Schizosaccharomyces pombe: one gene and its partners. Changing the gene in region 1 together with any one later gene gives a genetic interaction. Each region holds a gene or a part of one and is shown on either strand. Other genes may lie near its edges.

What was found.
Region 2: mutations in fpb26 (region 1) and SPOM_SPBC146.02 together harm fitness more than expected from each alone (negative genetic interaction), as found in Schizosaccharomyces pombe (one large-scale study listed by BioGRID).
Region 3: mutations in fpb26 (region 1) and ptl2 together harm fitness more than expected from each alone (negative genetic interaction), as found in Schizosaccharomyces pombe (one large-scale study listed by BioGRID).
Region 4: mutations in fpb26 (region 1) and pdt1 together harm fitness less than expected from each alone (positive genetic interaction), as found in Schizosaccharomyces pombe (one large-scale study listed by BioGRID).

Annotation. Positions count from the first base shown.
Region 1 is NC_003424.3:2,058,563-2,062,949, forward strand, and holds fpb26 (fructose-2,6-bisphosphate 2-phosphatase), read right to left. Parts: upstream 2,325-4,387; 5' UTR 1,916-2,324; coding exon 689-1,915; 3' UTR 501-688; downstream 1-500. Other genes in the region: sac12 (inositol polyphosphate phosphatase), read right to left, coding at 3,244-4,387.
Region 2 is NC_003423.3:999,224-1,002,720, forward strand, and holds SPOM_SPBC146.02 (uncharacterized protein), read left to right. Parts: upstream 1-1,627; 5' UTR 1,628-1,787; coding exon 1,788-2,579; 3' UTR 2,580-2,939; downstream 2,940-3,497. Other genes in the region: mediator complex subunit Med15, read left to right, coding at 1-857; cut3 (condensin complex SMC subunit Smc4), read right to left, coding at 3,266-3,497.
Region 3 is NC_003424.3:3,027,481-3,032,497, reverse strand, and holds ptl2 (triacylglycerol lipase), read left to right. Parts: upstream 1-2,038; 5' UTR 2,039-2,174; coding exon 2,175-2,226; intron 2,227-2,309; coding exon 2,310-2,526; exon of another isoform or gene 2,527-2,592; coding exon 2,593-3,928; intron 3,929-3,977; coding exon 3,978-4,265; 3' UTR 4,266-4,492; downstream 4,493-5,017. Other genes in the region: ATPase histone chaperone Abo1, read right to left, coding at 4,508-5,017.
Region 4 is NC_003424.3:4,329,130-4,333,729, reverse strand, and holds pdt1 (Nramp family Mn(2+) transporter), read right to left. Parts: upstream 2,771-4,600; 5' UTR 2,392-2,770; coding exon 826-2,391; 3' UTR 564-825; downstream 1-563. Other genes in the region: prp10 (U2 snRNP-associated protein SF3B1), read left to right, coding at 1-560; dolichyl-diphosphooligosaccharide--protein glycosyltransferase Ost1, read right to left, coding at 3,274-4,600. UniProt on the Schizosaccharomyces pombe protein: Transports manganese ions into the cell. Regulates cell morphogenesis through control of manganese homeostasis.

The DNA of each region.
Region 1 (4,387 bases):
TCGAGTATGTCAAGGGTTTTATTCTGTCCTGTCATTAGCTGAAGATGATAGGATTTATTTAATGACTTTAAATTGAAGAAGTCTGCTAAAAAATATGATATAAAAGCGACGTTTAATATCAAATACTTTTATCTTGTTGACTTTCTCTAAGGCTAATCAAAAAGTACTCTAACTACTAATACTTTGTTCGCTATTTTGTGAGTTTTTCGATATCTTTAGAATTATGGATTTGCTATCCTTCCTTGCTTAATTATTTGGAAAGTATATACCGTATAACTTTGATTGATCTCGAGAGCAACAGCCACAGTTTTGTAAAACGTGGTTGAAGCTCGATTCTAGAAAAAAAAAAGATAATTTTGCCATTCATGTCTTAAATGCTTCATAGTGCATTAAAGATAACAACTTTATGAATGACATACACAACCAATTGATGGTTCCGAGTAAACTACTTTTTTCTTTCTATTTTCGTTTAAAAGATTTGTTCACGTACAGTAAATACTTTCGGCTATCTGCATAGTGATACGAACTTTAGGTAACTGGAAGAATAATTAACAATAAACTTTGAAAAAAATAATTTTGTATTGAAGTCATCAATGCTGCATTTTATTATTAAAAAATAATTCACAACCTTTGAAAAATTCTGATCAACGTTAAAGGAATAAATCAGCACATTATGAAGAATTTTCTTTCAATGTTTGCCGCGTTGAGTAGAAACAGCAGAAATGGGGACTGTAACACGCTCCTCTATCGTTTCGTATGTCATTGGAGTGAGTTTAATTATTGTATGTAAAGGAACATTAATAAATGGTAATTCCTCAAGTGAAAGATTATGATAGTATCCATAAATACAACGAAGAATAGCTTGATGACATATAATAAAAACATCTCCCTGTCGTTCTAACTCCATAATAATCGGCTCTAACCGCCTTACTACGTCCATATAAGATTCTCCGCCACGATATCTGTAATGAAATTTATCATTATTTCGCAATTCGGCTTCATGAGGAAAATTCTGTTCAATATAATCATAAGTAAAACCATCACACGTTCCTGCATCTAATTCATCCAGTGCTCTCCATTCGAGCTTTTGGCAATTAAGGTGTCGAGCAGTTTGGATAGTCCTAGCCATTGAAGATGTCCAAACCGTAAGTCCTTTTTCACCTATCGAAAACTTAGCAACATATTCAGGAAGAAGAGCAGCATATTTTAGTCCTTGAGGACTTAAGCTTGAGTCACCACCTATTTTTCCTTCAACATTAAATTGACTTTCACCATGTCGGCTTAGCCAAATACTTCGTCGACGCGTACGCAAATTAGAGAGATAATAAACAATCCTAGATTCAAGGTAATTTTCAAGTTTATGAACTATCAGTTCGGCTCCAAAGTCCACAATTCTAACGAAAGTACATTCTTCAGCCTCGGACAAAGGTGTGTAGTGTTTCTCATACTCATGAATACTATCAAGGATTTTATTCTTCGATTCTTCGAACGGAAAGCTTTTGAAATATGGTGAATGCTGACACATATCAGTAATGTTTTCATCGATAATTTTTTGATTTGTGCAGACAACCTCGACAAACATTAAGAGCATATTCCGCGCTTTTGCCAACTCCACTATACTTTTCCGAAACTTTAGTGTACATTGGTTAAAATCAAGAATCGCAACATCAGTACCCTTTTTAAAAACGCTCTCCAGATTATCGAATATGGGGCTAAGAGTTTTAGCTAAATTCTCTGAATCACTGTTAGAATTTTCGGACAACGAATTATCAATTTCTTTCGTATCATAAAGGTGAGTAGAAACGGACATCCATGTCAAATATCTGGATAATTTCATTGCAGAAGATGTCTTGCCAGATGCGGGTAACCCCACAAAGCAAACACATAGGCCCAAAAGTCCTTCAATGTCTTTCATGTTCGATCTTAATGTAAAAAAGTTAGTTCTTAATTTAAATTTTGGGTGTGGTTATGTTGCAAACAAATATTAAAGAATAAATCATAAGAATATGACCAGGTTGCTAATCCTGCCAGAATCGGGTTGAATTATTAAGTGAATATGTTAAATAATGAATATATGTTAAAGAGTCGTATTTCGCTCGAAATGTATGATTCGCCTTGAAGAGCTTGATGGACGGTTTGCAGTACTCGTACTTATGTTAAGTATCCTTAGAGTATGTAGTGAACTCGTCAATGCGTTAAAAAGCTATAATTTTTAAAAAGAAAAACGATTAAATTAATAATATTTAACAGAACGGCTTAAAATATACAAGTTCAGAACATTGCACTCCTGCTAACATAAACAAGAGGGGTATACGTGTAAGTTCAAGCTTAATATACTAAATTGCAGGTCTTCGTTACGCAGTATTATTGCGAGAGATGTTTACGCTTCCGTAAGCTACATTAAGTGATCTCAAGTCTTTGACTTGGTACTAGGAGTAGTTAAATCCACTATTAAAATAATATTCAAAATTAAGTGTGAGCATTTCCATTTCTATAAGCATAATTATGCTAAGCTGATTGTAAAAGTGTATATAATCATTTTCGTAATATTGTGGAGTTTTCATACAAAAACTGTCGGGTAAGGCATAACTTCATCATTTTTTCAGTAATGTGAATTGTGAATTAAGATTCTGGATTGGAAGTATTAGAAAACGTTGCTGAACTGTATGATCTTTTAAAAAATTCATTTTTATAACATGTTCATTGAAAATATTAAACCAGAATGCCCCTAAATTGGAAGAAGTATGTATCCTAAATATTGAACATGAACAACACTTATGAAATTGAAAGAAAGCTTGGCTTTTTCATATATTTCATTTACTGTTTAAAACCGAGTAAAACTTGAGTCAAAAGCCTCAGTGATTCAATGGTCAAAGTTGCCCAATATTTAACACTGACTTAATAAAAGTTAGAAATATTAATTTTGTCTGCTATATTTTTTTCGTGTGTTATCCATACTACAATAGTTTGTTAAGGGCTCTAACAATTATGAAAATCTTAAATTACTAATTGATATTGGTAGGAAGCTTGGAGCAATTAAAGAAAATAAAGTTACAATTACCAATCACGTAAAATGATCTGAATTAGTCACTTGATAAAGTTGGGTAGCATCGCTTTGTTCAGTAGCAAGATTGACATCTATGAAGTCTAATGAAATAAAGAGTGAACTTCGAGTGTTCAAAGAGCGTTTTCTGCTAATTAAGAGTTATAGCAATACTGTTCTTTAGTTATTGAAATGCACAGTTAGACACTTTTTTTGAAAGAGCCGGAACGCAAAAAACGAAACACTTTAAGAGTAATATTTCGGAAATGATTACGAAACGAAAACCAACCTCCCTTAGCATACGTTGGTAGTACTAGACGAGGCCAATTAACGTATTGTCTACGATGAAAATATAGGTAGATTCCAGCATTCACCATAGGGATAGAATATAACAGACGACAGAACAGACTTGGATTTCCAAATAATTCTTGTATAGTTAATATTATCGTGGTGAACAAAAAAATTCCAGGTGCCACAAATCTAGTCCAGTGAAAACGCAAAGGCAAGTCCGGAATCGAAAGTGAGTCGTAAGGACGAAATACTCCAAGACCCAAATCATAGCTATCTTGCAGCATACCGTCAAAAAAATTGTTAAGAATATATCTACGAAAGCAGTTTAATAAATCTTTGAAAGCTCCAAAAATGGTTCTCGTTCCATGGCGAGTCACATCGCCTTTTAAGGCCGGGGTACCAGTGTAGAGATCACTGATATAATCTCCAGTATTAGCCCATATTAAGCGAAAATCTTGTAAAAAACTATCATATTCTTCCAAACTCTCAGAGCTAGAAAGTACACCAATATCGTGTAATTGCATGTTTAGAATAAACTGTGCAATGCTAGTCTGAATGACGTTCGTCCGATCTAAGCAATCCATACAATTTGTCCTTACAAAGTTGGTTTGCATTGCAGTAGTTTTAGATCCATGCTCGGCATAATATTTTCCTTCTATCAAGAGACTTTGAATTTCAGCAAGAAACAAAGGGAGATTTCTACTTCCTTGCTTATGATAATCGTAGTAAACATAAGACAAAGGAGGGTTTTTATTTCGTTTACATAATTTTTCAAACCCAGACCGTAGAGGTGCTTCACGTCCTTTTTGGTCTAGAAGATTGACCACCACAAGATTGTCCCCATAATCGTTGGCAAGTTCTTGAAAATGCTTCCCAAACACAGTCTCGCTATAATCAAGAGGTTGTAAAGATAATAAAGGTCGATAATGAAGATCATTAACTTCGGCCCAGAACATGGGGATACTTCCTCGAATTTGAGTAAAAGAAAGAACCATTTGTTCTTCAAGGGTGATGGGTGATTCGATCATTATTATTTGTTCAATTTCATTAAAA
Region 2 (3,497 bases), on another chromosome or scaffold:
AACCTGCAGCCAAAGCAAATTCTGTTGGTAACACATCTTTTCCTGTTGACAGTAAACTTGCATTCCAATCCTTGGATGTATCTCAGCCGGATTTGCAAGCCAAACAGAAGATTGCATCACAAGTCATGAAACATGGTTTAAAACCAGAAGATCTCAAGTTACCGCCTTCTAAGAAGAAAAAGATAGAAAACTTATCGACAGTTCAAAAACCTAAGGATTCAGTCGTAAATACTCCTGATGTTATAATGTCAAGTGTAGATGAAATACCTTCTAGTGTTTCTCCAGGTACTATAGCCAAAGAGGAAGGAATGGCTAAAGCTCGGGAAGAAGCAATTGCTAATCCTTTGAAGTACGCAATCGATGCATTTGTGGCTGTAGACCATGAAGAAGAAGTTTCTGCTATCAAATCATCACAGACTCCTAGTTCTATTTTGAAAACACCTCAGTCGTTTTTCATTCCTCCGTCAACTCCAGATTTATCATTTACAGATAACAAAAACTCACTTAGTCCATCTAATATTTTGTCATTGGACGGAAAATTTTCATTTAATGATGATTCGGAGCTTTGGGCTGATTTAGGTAATGAAATCAACTCTGAAATCGGATTTTTAAAGGAACCAGATACCATGAATCTTGCTTTGGATGCAGATAAAGATAAGACTAAAATGCAAAATAAGCTTACTCAAATTAATTTTGATGAATCATGTTTTCTAGATCCAGCGATCGACGATAAAGATCCATGGAATGAAATGCTTCATGAAAAGAAAGTTTTGCTAAAGCAGCTTCAAGTGGGTAACGAAGATGAAGACAACATCGCATTTCCAACATCTACAAACATATGGCAAGTTGTGATTTAAAATTTTGTGATACGATGGTTCGCAATTGTTTTTTATTTATTTATTGCACGTCGTCTCAAAAAGCAAATTGGACATATTTGTCCTTCTACAATATCTTATGAATACCATAGACATATATTGTTTCTCTGTTTATTCAACGTTTCTCCATTTTTTGAAAGCATCTGTTATGTTGAAAATTGTGATTGGGAAAAGGTTTGTATAGTCCTTGTGTTTATATACAATGATAAAAATAGAACCTGAATTTAATATTTTGAAGATCCGGTTGTACCTTTATTAGGCACAATGCCAGAAAGTATGGCTTTTTCCCGATTAATGACCTGTCTATGAGACTCATTGTGAACATGAAAATGTCGGTATAATGAGGACCGTTACAAATTTTATTTATTCATACGTTTAAGTTGATTTTAGTTAATTTATTATTAGTGCACCGGTTGGTGTTGAAAATTAATTTGTAATCTCTTAAATGAATATTTGTATAGTTTTTAATGTTTACTATCTCAAATATTCTAAAAGTAGCTATCAGTTTATGTTTTTGCTTTGGTTCAAGAGCTTTGGTTTAACCTAACCGCCAAATAGCTATCTCGAATTACCATCTAACATGAGAAAACAAATTAATATTTCAAAACTCCCGATAATTTATTGAGCTTAATAATTAATTAAAATTTACGTATTATTGAAGTCAATAAAAGCTTTCTTTGTCTTCCATGAACAAAGAAACCTTGTGATCTCAGTCTTGTATATAACACGCTAACTCGTGGCCTACTGTAAATAAAAGTTATCTTACTAACGATATATTATTTCTTGATTCATTGAAATAAGAATCGTAGGATTTAACAATAATTGAATACAGAGATCTCCTAGCTTCATTATTAAGTACAAAATAGTCAATTAATTTTTTTATCAAGCAGATTAATTGCTTTTAAACTTACAATGAATGGTATAAGGAAAAAACCAGCAACCTTGCAACTCCATAATATAAAAACCAGCTGTTTCATTGATGGCAGTGATGATCAAAGCGATAGAACAAGGTCAAGTTCTGGAGATAGCACCTCTAATTCACTGAAGCTATCACATCATATATCTGACGAACTGATCAATGCCATATATAAAGAGTTAAAGTCGCCAGTATCACCTTGGGACAAAAACATTTCGCAGCATTCGCCATGGCTGTTGGAAGCGGCATCGAACTCCATTGGTGATTCAAGTCCTTTACTTTCACCAATCTCTCCATTAAAGTTAAGATTTCATAAATATTCGGTTTCGAAACAGCTAAACAGCGTTGGAAAGCAGGGTTTTGGTCTTTCTTCAAACCATAGTCGTTATGCCTCACCATCCTCCCCTGCACGGCTTGCAAGAGGTGCACTTGGTGAGGAACTTAGCAATTCGCAATACAGATTAGAATGCGCCGCAATTCAGAAGCTTGTTGCTCAAAAACGAGCCAATAGAAGGAGTAGTAAAAGCACTTTAAAAAATTCTGCAAATGATATAGAGTTTTTCGATATTGAAGAAGTTTCCTCTCGCAAGGGACTAATAGACAGAACACCTTCTAAAAGAAATGTTACTTCCCGAGTTTCTGATGCGTATTCTCGTCTTAAATCTGCTGTGAAAGGCGAATCAAGCTTGTCCTTTAAAAGAAACCGATCGAAATCGAAGAGGAAAATTCAGCACCTGGGTTTGACTGAGTTTAATGGGTGGGAACACCATCAGTGCGACTGGCTATAAAATAAGTGTTACTCAGATGCTCCATGTTAGGCTACATGGTGCTAGCCATGTGGTAATTAACATTCATTTATTTCCTTCATTACTTTCTTCCTTAGTCCTCCTATCTCTTATTAGCTGGAAAGCTTTTATCATTTGCATTTTTCTTGTTAATTGGTCTTTCATTTATCTCGTCGTGTGCATTGAGATTTCCTATTTAAGTTTACGACTCATATTGTTTAATCTAATTTATTGTTTGTTTCTAATTATTCTTAATTTACTACCATAAAATTAAATTACTTAAAATTGGATACGTTCTATATGGTATGCATACGATTGCAATAAATCTTTAAAAGCATTACCCACTAAAATATTATACTATGTAACTACAAATTGTAGATACCTTCTGAAATTGATGATGTAAACAACATATTTAATTATATACAATTCCTTTGCGCAGATTTTACAGGCTTTAAAAGCGAGTGAAGATTAATTTTATATATTTGTAGTCCTATTACGTTCATAAACAGATTTCTGAAACATTAACATAAACTGGGTGCCACAAAACTAAATTAGTTTAATCTTCTCATAACATAGATTTATTAGTATGCACACTGTGAATTATGAAACACTGACATTCAGTAGCCAAAAATTCGTAAATTATTAAATATCTAGTTTCCAATTTTCTACGTTTTTATTTGAATGTGCAGTTAATCTGTAAGTATTTCCTTGTTGTTGATTGTGACACTCTTAGTCATATTCGCCGTTTTATAAATGCCAACCAAACGAGAAGATAACTCAAACATATTACTTCTTAAAGAAATAACAATAAACTGCGCGTTTTTAGTTCTTTCCTTAATGTAATTCGCAACAATCGAAACGTTTTTAAAGTCTAATGCAGCATCGATTTCGTCCATAACGTATAAAGGAGTCGGTTTGTAA
Region 3 (5,017 bases), 970 kb from region 1:
AAGAACCGACGTCCAACTGTCTACTAACTACTGATTCCAACAGATCCACGCCCACTACACTGTTCTACTCTACACACTTTGCGTGCTTGTCTGCTGTTACGATACCATCTACCAGCACATCCTTCCCTCGCCCCCTTTCTCAGCTACGGAACATCCCTCTACAACAAAGGACCCTTGAAATAGGACAACAACATCACCCAAAAAAGAAGGAAAAGAAAAAGAAAAAAAGATTCAAAAGAAAAAAATTACATTCCTAAAACTGATGGTGTGACACTATGGTTTTATATTATGACACATGCAATTTCAGTCGAGAAAGTTAGTCGAATCGTAAAAAAGTCAGTCGAGTAAATTTAAACGAGTAAATCAATTGAATATTGTGATTTTTTTTTTCGTCTATGTTTTTACAAAATAAAGGAAATTAAAAAAATTAAAATAAAAATGAAAATGAAAAATAAATTAAATAGTAAAAGCAAAAATACCGCGAGACCCTTACAAACTTGATGGAGGTCATTTTAGACGGTTTCGGTTGCTGCAGGCAATTCATTCACTTAACAAGTAAAATCTCCTTTCTTTCTCCGAAGGTGCTGCGAAGCCTTCCACTGCTGCTAAACACCTGATGAAATTCGGCAGTAAATGTAGACACTTCGTTATCCCAGCTTTTTTTAAAAAAAATTAATAAATGGTAGCCTTGCAGAATCCGGTTTAACGAGGCGATTTTGGCATGCATTATAATTGCTTTTCACACATGTTTTCCCATATCGTTTTCTTTCTCCAAGGCAAAATAGAGCGATGGATAGAATACATGCTATACATACGATATAGTCTATAGTCCATTTTGCATCTACAGATCCCTAGCGCACTACTCTGTTTTGTACAACCAAAAGTCCATCTTGCATCCATACAATCTTATTTACCACTTTTAATTTTTCATCCTTCTTTACCATTTTTTATTTCCATCCTTCTCTACCGCTTCTAATCCCTCTCCCATCCTTCTACTTTCGTTACCGTTTTGATGCGCTAACGATAAATAATACAACATTAGATTTTCTTTAACCTTCTTTCCATTCTCCTCAACACTTTAAATGGCCCACTTTAATAATTTTGCTTGCCCGGTTTTCCTGCTATTCCATTTGCTTGCCGTTACAATGTATCCGCATGTTTGCTCCTACTATCGCCGCATTGCGTTCCATTCCATTTTGCTATCGCAATTGCTCTGAAATCGGCTGCGTGCTAATTTTTGGACGCAAAGCTGCGATCATGGAATCTAGCTTCAAACTCTGGTATAAACCTTTTTTTAAACGCTTAAAAAACAACCAAAGTTAGTGCGCTCTCAAGCTTAAAGTTACGGATTTCCCCAAATCCGATATCTATTTACCGAGCGCAATAGTTTGTAAATTTAAAAAAAATAAATAATAAATAATAAATAAATAAAAAATTACACAAACCTTGAATTTGATCCAAACAACCTTTGCATCCTTTGTCGATCAAATTCCCATTCCTTCATTTCTTTTAAAAAAAAATTTTTTTTTCTAGAGCCGTTCCTTTCTCAATTCATTTTCGGGCATATTTATTTTGCTTCCTCTCTTCCTTCCTTTCTTTGTTTACACAAAAAACCATGATATTCCAATTGATCTTGCATGCTCATTTCTCACTACACCCTAATAATCCCTTTCCTTCATTCACTCTATCCTAAATTAAAAATTGCCCTTGCATCTTTTTTGTTTATCCAAAATTATTTAAAATTAGTGCATCAAAATCTTTTCTCGCAATTGCATTCCATCACATTACGTTTTATTTTGCTAATTTTTTTTCGACATCGCTCACTCCAATACTCAATATTTATTTACCATATTTTACGCATTACATCCTTAATGTTTTAATGTCATTGAGTTTATTCTGTTATCTGCTAATACCGATTTTACTACCTTTCTCCCTGTTTTCCATAAAACATATTCCCAACAGTGTCTTTAAATGACGTAGGGTCATTTCCTAGTAATTCATTATGTTCAGCACCTAGTCTCACGGTACCCTTTCTTCTACATTATACCGTTCTTCTTCAATTGATTCATGCTTTGATCTTTTGTTAATACCCAGTATTTATTTTTAATGATCTTATTTGAATTATAAAATTTTCTTTTCGTTTGCTTCATGTTTTGTTTTTTTCCTATCCAAAAATGTCTATCCCAGAGGAATCTGAAATAAATAAGGATTACACTGTTCAAGAAGGTAGGATGATTTGCTGTTAATTTTTATTACATAGTAATTTTACAAAACCAATTATTAACATTTTTCCTTTTTAAAATTTATAGATCTTGACGAATTCGCAAAATATACTTGTGTTTATAAAAAACGCCATGATGAAAAAATTGAGTACATCACTGCTCAACATGATTGGAATCCAGTCTATGAGGCCGTAGTCCCTCGCAAGTCAAAACCGGGTAAAGATGAAAAACGAGAGGGCTTTATGTATCCCATTCTACGTTGGCCCTTGATGTTTACTGCTTTCCTATGTCTAACCTTTGTCGCGTATGTTTATCTGTTACCCTTTACTTTATTTATCCATTTGTATTTGCTAACATCATCAACTTGCAGCTTTCTTTATCTTTTGGACCGTTTGTATATTAACTGTTATGAGTACTTTATTGTTTGGAGAGGCGAAGCTCGCAGACTTCGTAAACTCTTGCAAGAAGCAAAAACTTATGAAGAATGGAAGGAAAGAGCCAGAGCTTTGGACAAATATTTTGGTAATGACGAGTGGAAATTGGACCCTGTTTACGATTATTATGACTACACGCTCGTACAAGCTGTTTACAGCAGTTTGGTAAAACATCGAGAACAGAAAGATTGGAATGCCCTCAAATCTGTACTTGATGTTTGTGTGAGAAGTAATTTTGGTGGAATCGACAGCTCAATGCTATATTCGCGAACCTATAGCGGTACCAAAAAATTGGTGGAAGACTATGTTAATGAATTAAAGGTTTGTCTAGAAACCGTTATAGATCAACGTTTATATACGGCACAGGAAAGATCAAAGATGTTTGAATACTTTTCCCATAATTATGGAAGAACGGCCCTTTGCCTATCAGGTGGTGCTTCCTTTGCCATTTATCACACGGGAGTGTTGAGAGCTCTTCTCAACCAGGATTTGATTCCCAATGTCATTACTGGAACTAGTGGTGGCGGTCTTCTTGCAGCACTAGTTTGCACCCGCACCAACGAAGAGTTAAAGCAGCTTTTAGTTCCTGAACTTGCTTCCAAGTATCAATCAGATATCGGCAATTGGCTAGATGCTACGAAGCGGTACTTCAGGACGGGAGCTAGATTTGACGAAATTTTATGGGCAAAAACTTGCATGTATTTTACTCGTGGAAGCTTGACTTTTGCTGAAGCTTATAAAAGAACTGGTCGTATTCTGAATATCTCAGTTATTCCTAGTGATGTCCACTCTCCTCCTAAATTGATCAACTACCTCACATCCCCTGACACTGTAATTTGGAGTGCTGTTATTGCTAGTTGTGCCGTCCCTGGTATTTTAAATCCTATTCCCTTGATGACTCGAAGTCAGTCGCACAGGCTTATCCCTCACAATTTTGGAAACCGCTTCAAGGATGGAAGTCTTCGTACGGATATTCCTTTAAGTGAGTTACGTACTCAATTCAATGTCCATTTCTCCATCGTCAGTCAAACGAATCCTCATGTTCAAGTGTTCTTCTTTTCGCCTAGAGGTACAGTAGGTCGTCCAGTATCACACCGTAAGGGCCGTGGGTGGAGAGGCGGATACGTTGGAAGTGCCATCGAACAGTTTTTGAAGTATGATATGATTAAGTGGCTACATGTTATCCGTAGTTTAGAATTACTTCCAAGACCCCTTGGTACGGATTGGAGTAGTGTTTTTTTGCAAAAGTTTGATGGCACTATTACAATATGGGTAAGATTATATATAGCAAATGAAAATTTACAACAAGCTAACATTTTAGCCTAAAACAAAATTTCAGGACTTTTATTATATTCTCTCTCCTCCCAGTGTTGAACGACTTGGTTATATGATAGATGCGGGACAGGCTGCAACTTTTCCTAAATTAGATTTTATTGCTGCGAGAATGACTATTGAAAAGCTGATTGAAAAAGGTCGCATGATGGATAAGCCTAGTAAATTGGGTAGATCTATTGATGGTACTATCGGTACATCCATGAGTCGTGGTGACATTGAAATAAGCCAAGAGTCGGCTAGCATTTCTCCGGAAGATATTGACATTGTAAATTAAAATTTACTTGTTTAGCGCCTTTAAATAGTAAACTTTATACCTATTTTAACAAAGTGACATAGAAGTGTGCAGGTGACAAAATTATACTCAATTGAAAGAGATATATCATTATTAAAAATTACTTTGTTTGTTTGTGCTTATGTACATATAATTAATGTATTAAAAAAATTTCAGCTTAAGCGAATACTTTCGTCATTCTGTATCAAAAATATGTAGCAATTCTCGACCATTATTCATTATGTCTATTGTAGTGCATTAATCATAAACTCTTTTACTGCTCGCTCGCATTCATCAACCACAGAGTTTCTATTCCATTCGGACTTCGTATTCCAAATGATCTGGTACAAAAATGAATGAAGATGTAAAAGCTGGTCAACGGTGAAGCCTGTTGTTGAATCAATAAGCAACTGCTTCAATGGAGTAAGTCTGTCCTCATCAAACACCAAATCAGGGAATACCACCTCTTGTTCGATATTCTCAATATGACCATCAGCGGATGTAATATTATGGGCATCAGTAGGAGCATTATTAGGAACATCAGCAGGAGACGTGATGAGGGTGTCAACAGGGATATCAGCACGGCCATTAGAAGAGATATTCGTAGAGACATCAGTAGAAACACGTAATGCGGCTTCTGATGGAACGCCTACTGGACTCTTCCCATTTAACAATGGAGATTGTACTTTGTCTTTTTGATCAATATATTCGTCAGGCTTGGGAGACTCTTCATTCTCAACTAACATGGAAGGAAC
Region 4 (4,600 bases), 2.3 Mb from region 1:
TGGCAGAAACATGTATGCCTTTTACAGTCGTACCAGCACTTATGGCAGACTACAGAACTCCAGAAATGAACGTGCAGAATGGTGTTTTAAAGTCATTAGCGTTTATGTTTGAATACATTGGTGAGCAAGCACGCGACTATGTTTATGCCATTACACCTCTTTTAGCCGATGCGCTTATGGATCGCGATGCCGTGCATCGGCAAACCGCCGCTTCTGTAATCAAGCACTTGTCTCTTGGTTGTGTTGGTTTGGGTGTTGAAGACGCAATGATTCATTTACTTAATATCCTATGGCCAAATATCTTGGAGGAATCGCCCCATGTTATCAATGCCGTTCGGGAAGGCATTGATGGCATCCGAAATTGTATCGGTGTAGGTCCAATTATGGCATATTTAGTACAAGGATTATTTCATCCGAGTCGTAAAGTTCGTAACACTTATTGGACAAGCTACAATTCTGCTTATGTACAAAGTGCAGATGCTATGGTACCATACTATCCCCACGTTGATGACGATCAATTCAACAACTACGATATGAAAACTTTACATATTTGCATCTAAGTACCCTTTTTGTTAATTATTAAAAAATATTCATTATAATAGTACATGAAAACATTTGTGATAGTACTTGTATACATGTCTCAGCTTCATGTTAATAACTTTGGTTTCAACAGAGCATCGCAAATTACTTGACGCGGTTTGCAAATGCTACATAAATAAATTTCGGACTAAGTGTAGTAATTAAAGGAAAGCTATGGGGAAATGTTAAAAGGAACGTACGCATATAACCATGCCGTTTGAAAAATACGAGCGTTCTAAAATTTATTTAGAAGGAGACTCCCATGCCCAACCAAACAATGAGTAATAAATTTAAAGCAGTCAAAAAGAGCCAAATTGCCCATGTAACAATAGTCATAGTCCATCCTAAGCTATAATCGTGAGTTTCTCTTATCAATTGTCCAGTTTCTTCATTGGTAGAATCACTAACAACACGCATAACTTTTCGAGAGCAAGTGAACATTACAAGTGGAAAGGTAAGAAAAGGTAATAAAATAGAAAGACAAACCTGACTAGCGTTCAGTACTTGATTAAGACCACTCTGTCCAACAGCAGCCGAAACAACTAAGCATGGGATAATTGCAATAGCACGTGTTATTACTCTTCGAAGCCAAGGACGTAAATTCCAATTTATGTAACCCTCACTAACTATTTGACCTGCGATGGTACAAACATATCCTGCACTCATGCCTGAGAATAAAAGGGCGACGGCAAAAAGTCGACCACAAGATATAGACACATATTCTTTCAGTAAATCATAAATTGAAAAAAGATCGGAGGTGTCAGCGCCGCTAGTATTGTAAAATACAGCACCAGCGACGATTAGGATACTAGAATTAGTAAATAATGCAAACGTAAAAAGGGATAAAGCAACCTCGACTATTGAATATGTTAAAGAATGCTTAATGGTTTCATGGGTAGGTCTGTAATCAGAGCAATCACCAACAGGTGTATAATTCCCACGACGGACATCCAAATCACGAAGTCTAGTTTGAACAAGGCCAGAACCTAGGAATAGTGAGTGGGGCATGACAGTAGCACCCAAAATTCCAATGCTGCTGTAAAGTCCCTCTCTTGAAAAAACGGTAGAAGAAGGTAGGAACCCTTTAAAGACAGTACCAGCGCCCCCGATGTGGACGCGGCCTAAAACGACTGCAAATGAAATAGCAACAACTAGAACCAAAAGAGCAACAGCAGTCTCAAAGATACGTACACTGAGCATAGAACCTTCAGGACGCCAGGCAATAAGGACCAGTAAAACGTCTAAGATGGTAATTACAACGCCAGCTACCAAAGGAATGTGCATTAAAATTTTAAGCGCGACAGCCGTGCCGATAACTTCGGCAATATCAGTAGCTATAATTGCAATTTCTGCAAGAACGTAAAATGACCAACAGATATATCTATTATAGTGTTCGCGGCAATTTCTGGCTAAATCCATACCCGTTACGGATCCAAGTCTAATACATAATGATTGCAAATACACAGCAAACAGATTGGAGAGAAAAACGATGAACAGTAACTTGTATTGAAACCTTGAACCAGCATCTAAATCGGTTGAGTAGTTACCTGGATCAATATATGCAACAGCTATAAGGAATCCAGGGCCGATGAACTTGCAATACTCACGGATTCCATAAGTACATTTCTTCCAATATTTGGAAAACCCTGTTTGAATCCCATATTTGTCTTCTAAAAGAAGATCTGTGGATCGGCGAGTGTCATTTTGCTCAGGATTTAATTCATTGATCGCGGTATCTTTTTTATTAAGAGTTGATGATTCTAATGATCTCAAATCATCCAAGTCATTCATATAATAGGATTGGCTAGACATGGGAAAAAAATGGATAATTTCAAATAAATAAAAGAAATTATGACGATAAAAATATTATGATAAATTCGCAACACAAGTAGATTAATAAATATGTACCTTTTAAAAGCAAAAAAAGTAAATTAACTTTCACAAAATAAACAATATGAGCCAAGTATCAACTGAGCCAGAGAGTATAATTGAAAGTAAAAGAATTTGACTGCACAACCCTAAGAATGTACTCGCTTAAATCTTCCGAGCAAACTTAGCAACACGAAATCAAGGCAATCGGTCAAAGCGCATGCAGGTTTCTCTTAATCAGATTATGAATGTTAAAGTAGCTCTATTTAGTTGGTTACAACCAACGTTACAATTATCAACTTGATTTAACTGCCCCTGTGGTAAAGGAATGTAGTCTAACTGGGATCGCTTCAATTATATCAGGCATATGTTGAGGTAGCATGTTACTTATTAATGTTGCATCTTTCAAGTGTAATGCAAGGAAAAGAGTGTTGCAGAAAAAGAGGATAATAAATAGAAGAGCAGGTTTGCTAGAATCACCTTTACAACGACTTGTGGCATTTATTCGCCTTTCAAGCAAATGCACACAAGCGCATCGATATGGTGAAACTATAGTTGAACTACAATTATATAAATTTACCTATAGGTTGAATCAATCAATCATTACAAAGGGTAATTTACGATCACATTTACTAAAAGCTGTAAACAGAGTTCATAAAAAATAAGGGGAAGGCAAGAAATGGAAGAAGGGGAAAAAGAAGGACAGTTGACAAATACTGAATTTTTGTCAACGATTTTCGGATGCACATAAGGCAAATATTAAGCTAGCATAAACATGGGTTTAAGGACATTCGGCTTGATTGATCGACTTTGTAAAAATATTTTTTAAGGTGCCCAAATCATGTAGGCTGCAGCAGCTAATAATATGAGAAGAGTAGTAATAATTGCAATTCGAAGGAAAAAGGCCGAACTGTTATACTCATAAGAGATATGAACAATATCGGAAGGGACACCGTCGGTTACATTCAAAGCTTCATAAGTAAATACTTGGCGACCCAAAGTATCCAAAAATTTATGGATTTTAGTAACGTTGGAATTAGATATTTCTACTGGCATTTCAATTTCAATGTTGGTAGCCCCTTCGGGAAAAACATAAGACCAAACGGCTTTCTCATAAATCATGTCACCAGGTGACCATGCCAGAGGAATATCAAGATATTCCCTTCTATTCTTGGAAGAGCGGAACTCCTCGTAAGGCATTTTCCAATCCAATTGGAACAAATAGTTCCATCCCCCAAATACAGGATAGCGAGGATTTAACTCGATCCATGTCTGGTGAGGCTCAACTCGCATATGAGATGTGGTAATGTTTCCCACCTCATCGGTATAGTAGACATCCTTGGAATTTCTAGGAAGACTATAGACGACTCGATTAATAGCAGTAGAAACTGGATTGTAAAAGTTTCCCATATACCACTTGGCACGATCGAAGTTGGACTTCAGCTTGGCAGCATGGTTTTCAAAAACCACACGCTCCGAGACTTCTAACATTTTTCGGTATTCATGCATATCAATTTGAACATAGAGATCAGCTCCGCGAGGAATAGGTACAGTATGCTCATAGCGAACATAGATTTCACCTAAATCATTGTCCTCCCCGGTGATAGTCTCACGGCTTTCGTAAACCAAAGTATTGCCAACACGATTGGGAAGTTCAGCTCCATCAATATTATACGTAGTATATGTGTCAATTTTAGCAGAAGGGAGTATAAGACGAGTGCGTTGAAGATCAGTAGTGTAGGGACTATCTAAGTAAAGGGTTGTCAGGTAAACCAAATATTGTTCTTCGTCTTGATCCACAGCTGCTGGTAAAGGACGAACACCACCGTCCAAACCTGCCTGTATTAATAAAGTACGAGATTCACCAGGTTTGACAGGAGGTTGTAAAGGAATATCATAAACATTGTTGTTAACTTTTATAGGGTTAGTTCCTTTCTTTTCTTCCTCTTTTATCGATACGGAGAGAGACAAGACACTTTCGCCAGGTGAGGTCTGCTGAAAGTAGCGATATGTATTTTGAGGCTCATCTCCTTCATTTACAATAATTAAAGAAGTGAGAGTTTTGGTATAAGTGGAGCGTAAATCAATCGTACGAATCGCGTTACTATTTCTCCATACCTGCTCAGCTAAACTGAGCCCAGATATGATGGAC